Nothobranchius furzeri: one gene and its partner. The protein of the gene in region 1 purifies or fractionates together with the protein of each later gene. This does not show direct contact. Links are inferred from orthologs where the notes say so. Each region holds a gene or a part of one and is shown on either strand. Other genes may lie near its edges. The genes, in order: wdr82 and setd1ba.

What was found.
Region 2: the proteins of wdr82 (region 1) and setd1ba purify together in Homo sapiens (affinity purification with western blotting; 4 studies listed by BioGRID, with this or other methods). This does not show direct contact. The link is inferred for Nothobranchius furzeri from reciprocal best matches to the Homo sapiens genes WDR82 and SETD1B.

The regions. Positions count from the first base shown.
Region 1 is NC_091743.1:64,676,517-64,680,834, forward strand, and holds the start of wdr82 (WD repeat-containing protein 82), read left to right. Parts: upstream 1-1,508; 5' UTR 1,509-1,704; coding exon 1,705-1,865; intron 1,866-2,412; coding exon 2,413-2,510; intron 2,511-2,904; coding exon 2,905-2,971; intron 2,972-3,105; coding exon 3,106-3,205; intron 3,206-3,354; coding exon 3,355-3,471; intron 3,472-4,318. Other genes in the region: glyctk (glycerate kinase), read right to left, coding at 1-29, 105-460. UniProt on the Homo sapiens protein: Regulatory component of the SET1/COMPASS complex implicated in the tethering of this complex to transcriptional start sites of active genes.
Region 2 is NC_091746.1:52,004,220-52,007,623, forward strand, and holds the end of setd1ba (histone-lysine N-methyltransferase SETD1B-A), read left to right. Parts: intron 1-607; coding exon 608-745; intron 746-837; coding exon 838-1,011; 3' UTR 1,012-2,771; downstream 2,772-3,404. UniProt on the Homo sapiens protein: Histone methyltransferase that catalyzes methyl group transfer from S-adenosyl-L-methionine to the epsilon-amino group of 'Lys-4' of histone H3 (H3K4) via a non-processive mechanism.

The DNA of each region.
Region 1 (4,318 bases):
TTCGACTGTTTTCCTTTAGCAGGAGATGGCTGCGATAGAATTAAGAGCTTGATTTATTTTAGTTCTTTGGCATAAATTGATTCCCTCTGAAGGTCTTTCCTTACCTTTTCCCGTGCTGCCGTAACGTCTGCTGAATCCCATGAGGCACACTTATGACGCCATTCACTAAATGATCACCCACGATCCTCTCTACCTCCGCAGCCATTCCCAGAACAGCTTTTCCAAAGCCCACCAAGTGCAGGTTGTGTTTGAGTGTGAATCTGCGACCGTCAATAAGAACTGAATCTTCCGTGCGCTCTATGCTCTTCCTGATTACAGTGTCTGGCTGCACAGCTTCCACTGCCGCTGCAAAGACCTTCCGGGCCCGTGAGTCCATTGACATTTTGCAGAATGTAGGTTTTGGCCGGCCCACGAGGGCCAGAATAGGCTGAGGCCGGATCAGGGAAAGGACGCGGGCCATTGATGGATCAATGGGTCTGAGAAATTCATGAATCAGGACAAAGAATGACAATAAAAAACCTTTAACATGTGAAGACATTTGAAATTTATTACATGCCTCAAAGAAACTTGGAATTAGTACACCAACAATTCCTCGTTGTACAAAAACGAAAGAAAGGAGGTGTGGAAAAACCTCTGCATCTAATTTTATCCTCATCCATGTGCATAATATCTTGCTTTTGAAAAGCAACCATAAAAATACTAATCCAATAACTAAAACTTGTATATTTGTTATCAACATTCTACTTTTGCAAACTTTCACTCCAATATTGAGCTCTCTGAGATTCCTTAAGACTGCCTACCTGTGTGGGTCGTGAATGGTGGCATTTAATGCCTGCAAATTCCAGTGGAATCCCGTCGTGTGTGTTCTAGCTCAGCAGTGGAACAAATATCTGGCCCGACAATGATTGGTGTTGTTTAAACTCTGTTTAATGATTAACTTTAACGGATCATAGACCATGCTAAAGTGCTCTTCATCCAGTTGAGACATATTATTTTACTTGAACACGTGTGAATCAAATTAAATTAAGTTTAAAAGGCAAGTTACCCCCAAATCAACTTTTTTTTCTTCTGATAAACTAAACTAGTGTCTAATTGTGTAGACGTGCATAGTCAATATTTTGGCACTTTAAAGCATCTTAGTTAAAATTGAAATAATTTGCCTAAAACTGTCAATGTTGACAGTTTTGTTGCCAAATACCTGAAATGTTTCTATCCATGGAGTCAAAATTCCTGCTGGAACTTTCTTCGTTACCTCTGCGTTCATGTTCGAACATCAAAATTCCACACTTACTATTATAAAAAATACGTATTAAACGTCAAAAACACAATAACTGTCTTGTGTTTAAATCGGAACACTCTGAAATTTCAAAGTAAGATCAGCTAAAAACGCGAAAGATTTGATTATTCACGCTGTTCTTCACTGTGTTTCTGCTGTTTGTATTGGTGGTAATTCTCGCGATAACACGCTGTCTCGTCACGTGTTTTTTCACCCGTGTCAGGTGACTTCCGTTATAGAGCGACGGACATTGCGTTTCCCTTCCCTTCTGTGTTACAGGCGGGATTTTGTCGTTGTTTCTGATTTGAGTTCTCGATAATTGTGACTTGTAGTGTAACTGTTGCTCACATATCCACACGAATTTCCTCAAGTTTACTTTCCAAATCAAGTTCAAAGAGAACGAGGGCCTATTTCCCCTCAAGACAACCATGAAGCTAACGGACAATGTGCTACGGAGCTTCAGGGTTGCTAAAGTATTTCGTGAGAACTCAGACAAAATTAATTGCTTCGATTTCAGTTCGAACGGAGAAACTATTATTTCCAGCAGCGACGATGACTCTATAGTGTTGTACGACTGCCAGGAAGGAAAGTAAGGGCGATTTCTGCTGAGTTTACTTTTTGGAATTAGCTTCATGCTAAGCTAACACCGAGGCCTGTCGCACTGCGTAGGACTCAGCGGTCAAATAAAAATACGCGTTTGAATTACGCTAGAGTAATAATTATGTGGTTATCTGATTGGTAAAATATACCCGTAAATAAAACCCAACATGTTAAAATTTTTTGTAATAGTTAGCTTGAGTGATGGTGTAAAGAGGGCAGAAATTTGAATTGTTAAGTTTTATAAAACTTATTTTACAGCATCATCAGTAATTTTGAATCTAAACGAGTATTCACATGAGCATGTGCGAGCATTATTTCATATTTAGCTCCAATACAATTATGTGGATACATTATTTTTAAGGTAAATGAGAGAAAACCAAATGTGTAGAAGATTTGGATTAGCATGTAATCAGATTTAAAACAAGAACGGCAGAATATAGAACTTTAACAAAATAGCAGTTGGTTAGTTTTATTTGTTCTGATTAAAATTCTTGATGTTAGTCTGATCACGTTTTGTTTGTTCTGATTAATTACAGGCCCAAGAGGACTCTGTATAGTAAAAAGTATGGAGTAGATCTGATCAGGTACACACATGCTGCAAACACTGTGGTCTACAGTTCCAACAAAATTGATGGTATGTAAACTAATGTCATTTCCATAATTACATTCATTCAACTGTGAATGGGGATGAATACTTTTCTTGGTCTGTAAGGGTTTGTTTTTTTTAGCCACAGCATCATGATCTGTTGTATTGACTGAACTCTACAGGATGTTTCTCCACCTCCAGCTTCTCCATCACAGCTCATCATGCTGCTCACTGTAGTCTGAGGTAGTTGTTTGTACAGTTTGAGGGTCTGTGATTCTGCCCCATACAGGAGCTAACTGTACAAGTGACTGCCTTGCCCACGGTTGAGTGTACTCATCACATGTTGATGCTGGTGGATTCGTTTTAATCATTTACTCCCGCTGCAGGTCTTACATGTTTATTGACTGACACGAGTTTAATGATGTGTCTCTTTTCCTACAAGACACCATCAGGTACCTGTCTCTTCATGACAACAAATACATCCGCTATTTTCCTGGACACAACAAGAGGTGAGGGCTGAGTAACTATTTCTGTATCTGTTTACTGTTTTATTTTTGTAAGTTTTTGTTTTCCTTTAAAATGTTTCAGGTTTAAAGTTTTTACTCGTCATGTTTTGTTCTGTGGTTGTGTTTGTTGTGACCAGGGTGACTTCTCTCTCCATGTCTCCTGTGGATGACACATTTATTTCTGGCTCATTAGATAAAACCATCCGACTGTGGGATCTGCGGTCGCCTAACTGCCAAGTAAGGGTCCAATTTCAAGCAGTCAAAAGTGCCAGCTAAAATGTTTCACATTTATGATAACAGCTTTTCATTTGGTGCGCTGTCCTTGCTGATTCACTCGTCAAATGAAAAAACTGATTTTGACCTTTGCTATTATTTGTCTCTTTTAGGGACTGATGCACCTGCAGGGAAAGCCGGTGTGCTCTTTTGATCCAGAGGGTCTCATTTTTGCTGCAGGAATAAATTCAGAAATGGTTAAACTCTATGATCTGCGGTCATTTGATAAAGTAAGAATTGCTTTTGTCTTTTTTTGTTTTTTTTTTATACAGGTGCTTTAAATCCTAGAACAGATTTAAATTTTGAATGAATGAAACCTTTAACAGTCTGGATCAAGGCTTCTCAGGTCTGCTCCGCGTGTTTTAGCTGCTCCAACACACCCGATTCAATGGTTGAATCTCCTCATCATCGTGTCCTCAAAGTTTTTGGAAGTCTGTTAATCACCCATTGATGCAAACCAGGTGTGTTAGTGCAGGAAAACAGAAAACATGCAGGTAGTGGCTCTTTGATTGCAAAGCGCAGGTTTAGAAAATACAAGAAAAAAATCAGATGGAAAAATGCTGCTCACACACACACACACACGCACGCGTGGAGAAACAGAAACTAAAATAAACAATGGTGCATACAGACAAATATTACACCTGGAGCCCTTTAAATCTTCTGCACAATTATAATCGATGTATTATCAATGTCATGTGATAAACTAAACAACCGTGATGATGTTTATTTTTTTTAAGCTGTATTTTATTTGAACTTATTAAAACACAGCAGGTTAAAGACACACAAGACTAGAGCTGGGCATTGATACAAATTTCAAGAATCTATTTAATTCCGATTCTCAAGAGTTAGAATAGATTGTTACGATCTGATCTGACTCAGTCTGTTCCAGTTTGATATCGATATGGGTCAAGAAAACAAATACATGCTGGCAGTGGGCTTGGTGACAACACTTATTAAACTTAACATAGATAATTAAATAAATTCTTAGTGTTTGTAATGTTACAGCAAACACATGAAACCTGTGTTATGGGTCAGGAAACGTTATAGCGATCATTACAAGCAGCTAATTAGCCTAAA
Region 2 (3,404 bases), on another chromosome or scaffold:
GTATAGCGGGGAGATGAGTTTCCACCACAGAGAATAACGGACACTAGGGGGTGCTAAAAGCAAGTAAAACTGCCAAATGTGCCTTTAAGGAGAAGAACTTTAATATTTGGGTGCAGGTGACTAAAGCCCCTTCCACACTAGGGTCGGCTCCACTCCGTGCAGTCAGCTCCAGCCTGACTGGGCTGATTACACACATCCTTCCATACGTCCTTAGGAACGCAGACGTGACCAAGCAGATGGCCGGTCTCCAAAAGTGGCGCAAAACATCAGTGATGTCATGAGCGCATCTCTGAGCACGTGGACGGGCCAAAAGATGTGCGTAGAAGTCCGTAGGCGGAGTGGAGCCGGTGCTAGTGAGGGAGCCCTGTTATTGAGATTTGGTTTTCAGGCCTGATACAGGTTTTATATCATTGTGCAGCTCCGACCTGCTGATGCTGACTTATCTCAGAGAACAATTTACAGAATCTGTTGAAAAAACTTTGTTGACATGAACACATCCACACCCCTAACCTTTCTAGAACTTCTAATTTAGGCTGATTCAGATTTTTTATGCATGTCTAATCCAAAGCCATCCACGACTTGACGTGCCACACTTTGCTCTCTGCAGGTGATCGCTGACATGCGGGAGAAGCGCTACGAAGAGGAGGGCATCGGTAGCAGCTACATGTTCCGGGTGGACCACGACACCATAATCGACGCCACAAAATGCGGCAACTTTGCCCGTTTCATCAACCACAGCTGCAACGTAAGGCTGATCCCCACCTGCATTAATGCAGCTGAGAGAATTTTTGCTTTCATAACTGGAATCCATAAACAATCACCCCTCTTTCCTCACAGCCCAACTGTTATGCTAAAGTCATCACAGTGGAGTCCCAGAAGAAGATCGTGATCTACTCCAGGCAGCCGATCAATGTGAACGAGGAGATCACGTATGACTACAAGTTCCCCATCGAGGACGAGAAGATCCCATGTTTGTGTGGAGCAGAGAACTGCAGAGGGACGCTCAACTAGCATCCATCTTCAGGTCAAAGACCTCTAATGGGCTGTGAGAAGGCTGGTCGTAGACTCGGACTAGGAGGAGGACAACCCAGCAAGTCACCCCCATCGAGCTAAGCTGCCTGAACGACGCTCTTCTTTCACTAAAACTCTGATTGTTTACAATTCATGGTGCTCTTAAAACAGACTTTTTTTTTCTCTTTGTTTAAACCCTCGACTTGTCGGTGGAGTGTTTTCCCCTCCCTTGGTGTCGGACAGTATTTCAGCACATCTCCTTAAGTCATTCTCCACACGTTCTTTACAGTTCCCTCATATGCCTCATATGCTTTACCCACAGCACACATGGTACAAAACTAAAGCACCGCTCAGATGCACAACATTTCTTCTTCTGCAGGTTGGAGGACAGCGGAATGGCTCGCTGCTCCCTCTGCTGCACCGCTTTTCCTGAAGTCGAATCAAACTCAAATGATTGAAAGCAACAAATCATTTCTGTCCAATAATGTCTTCTTCCACCAGCCAAGAACGGATCGTGCTGCTTCCTGTTTGTTTATGCAACAAGTTTGGAAAAAGACCTGCAAAATTTTCGTTAATCGTAATTGTTTAGCTGGTTTGTTTCTGTAAAGACACTGTGTGTGTGTGTGTGTGTGTGTGTGTGTGTGTGTGTGTGTGTGTGTGTGTGTGTGTGTGTGTGGGTGTGGGTGCGCGGTGCGTGCTTCATTCAGAGTATCTCTTTCGCTGTTTTGAGGGCACTGCCCCCTGGTGGCCACCCAGCAGAACTAACCTAGTGCAGAAAAATACAAAATCACTGAACAAGCTCAACTATGCCCCCCAGCTTTGAGCGAAAGTTATTTTTCATTTTGCGTGCCATACAGATGTGTTAAACCTGATGTTGCTGCTGTTTTGGCTTCACTCATATTCCCTCCTCTGTTTAACGTTCCCAGCGGCGTCAGAGGCTCCTACACCTCCCCGCTCACTCATTATTTACTATTTATCAGGATTTTAAAAAGTTCTGGAGGTCTGGCACTTCTGCTTCTCAAGTCCAAGTCAGTTGTTGCTTTTTTTTTCCCCCTTTCGTTTGTTTGGGTTAAAAAAGCTGGTTTTTGTTGAGTTTTCCAACACTGGTGTTCATATTGTAAATGAAAACTTGTACAGAAGATTTTTTATCTTCACAAACAAAACACTTTTAAGATGCGTCTTTCTTTCTCTTTTTATTTAAAAAAAACACAAAGACTGAATATTTAAAATATTTTCAGGGTTCTGTGAACAGAATCGGTTGGTTTAGAGGTTGTTTATTTAAAGAGAAAAAGGTCCAGCATGTGTACAGGAAAAAAGTCTCCACTTCCCTTTTGGAAAGATTGTTTCTTGTAGAAACGTCTTCATTTTTCTGTCTGTTTACTTTGAGATGCTAAAATGTGTAAGTATCTAACTGTGAATATTATATAAATATAAATATATATATATATATTTGTTTCTCGGGATGCGCTACTTGAACACGGCTCAGACGTCTATGTATCATAATGAGGAGAGCTCTGAGCTGGTAGCAGAAAAATCAGCTTGTGTCAAGCTCCTTTGTTTTTTAAACTTTGTGTTGTAAATTCTATGAAAAGGTTTTTTGCGGTGTGGAGAATTCAAATAAATAAAAAAAGAAGGTGCAGAATCGGCACTGGAAAGAGGACTGAAGCCTCAGCCGGTTTCTTGTGTCTATTTATTATATGACAAATGTATGACAGAGGAAAAGAACTGAAATAAAGAAGTTTTGCATACATCCTTAAAAAGGTGGTTGTTTGTTTATTAGCTGTAGAGCAGGACAGGTTCTGATCGGATCCCAAACTGTCACACTTTTGCTGCATTTTCTTAAAAAGCAGCAGGGCAGTCATTACATATTTTATTAAAAAGCTTTTATTTGAAATAAGCACTCACTCGTCACATAACATAAATCCTCCTGATCATTTTTTTTACACAAGCGGAATCAGGAAATGTATTGACACAACTACAAAAAAACACTTCATAAGTTTAAATCATGCTTTTAAAGAATAAACACTTTTTAATGTGCAAAAATAAGATCTATTTAGAATGGTTAATTGATTCCAAATACTTAATATTTTAGTACTTCCCTGTGTTTAATGTGAGTTTAGGTTTGTAAAAAGTTATGGGATAATCAGGGCTCTAGAGGAGTTTTAGGGGATGAAAACTGAAGTTTGAAATTTGATTTTGACTAAATATGCCAGAAGATATTTATTCAGCTGTAAATAGAAACAGAACTAAAACCATTTGTTGTGTTTCAGAATAAAGAAGCTCATAAAAACACTCAACAAAAATATAAACGCAACACCTTTGTTTCTGCTCCGATTTTTCATGAGATGCCACATCAAGCATCATCAGCATCTTAATGTGGCACACCTGTGAGG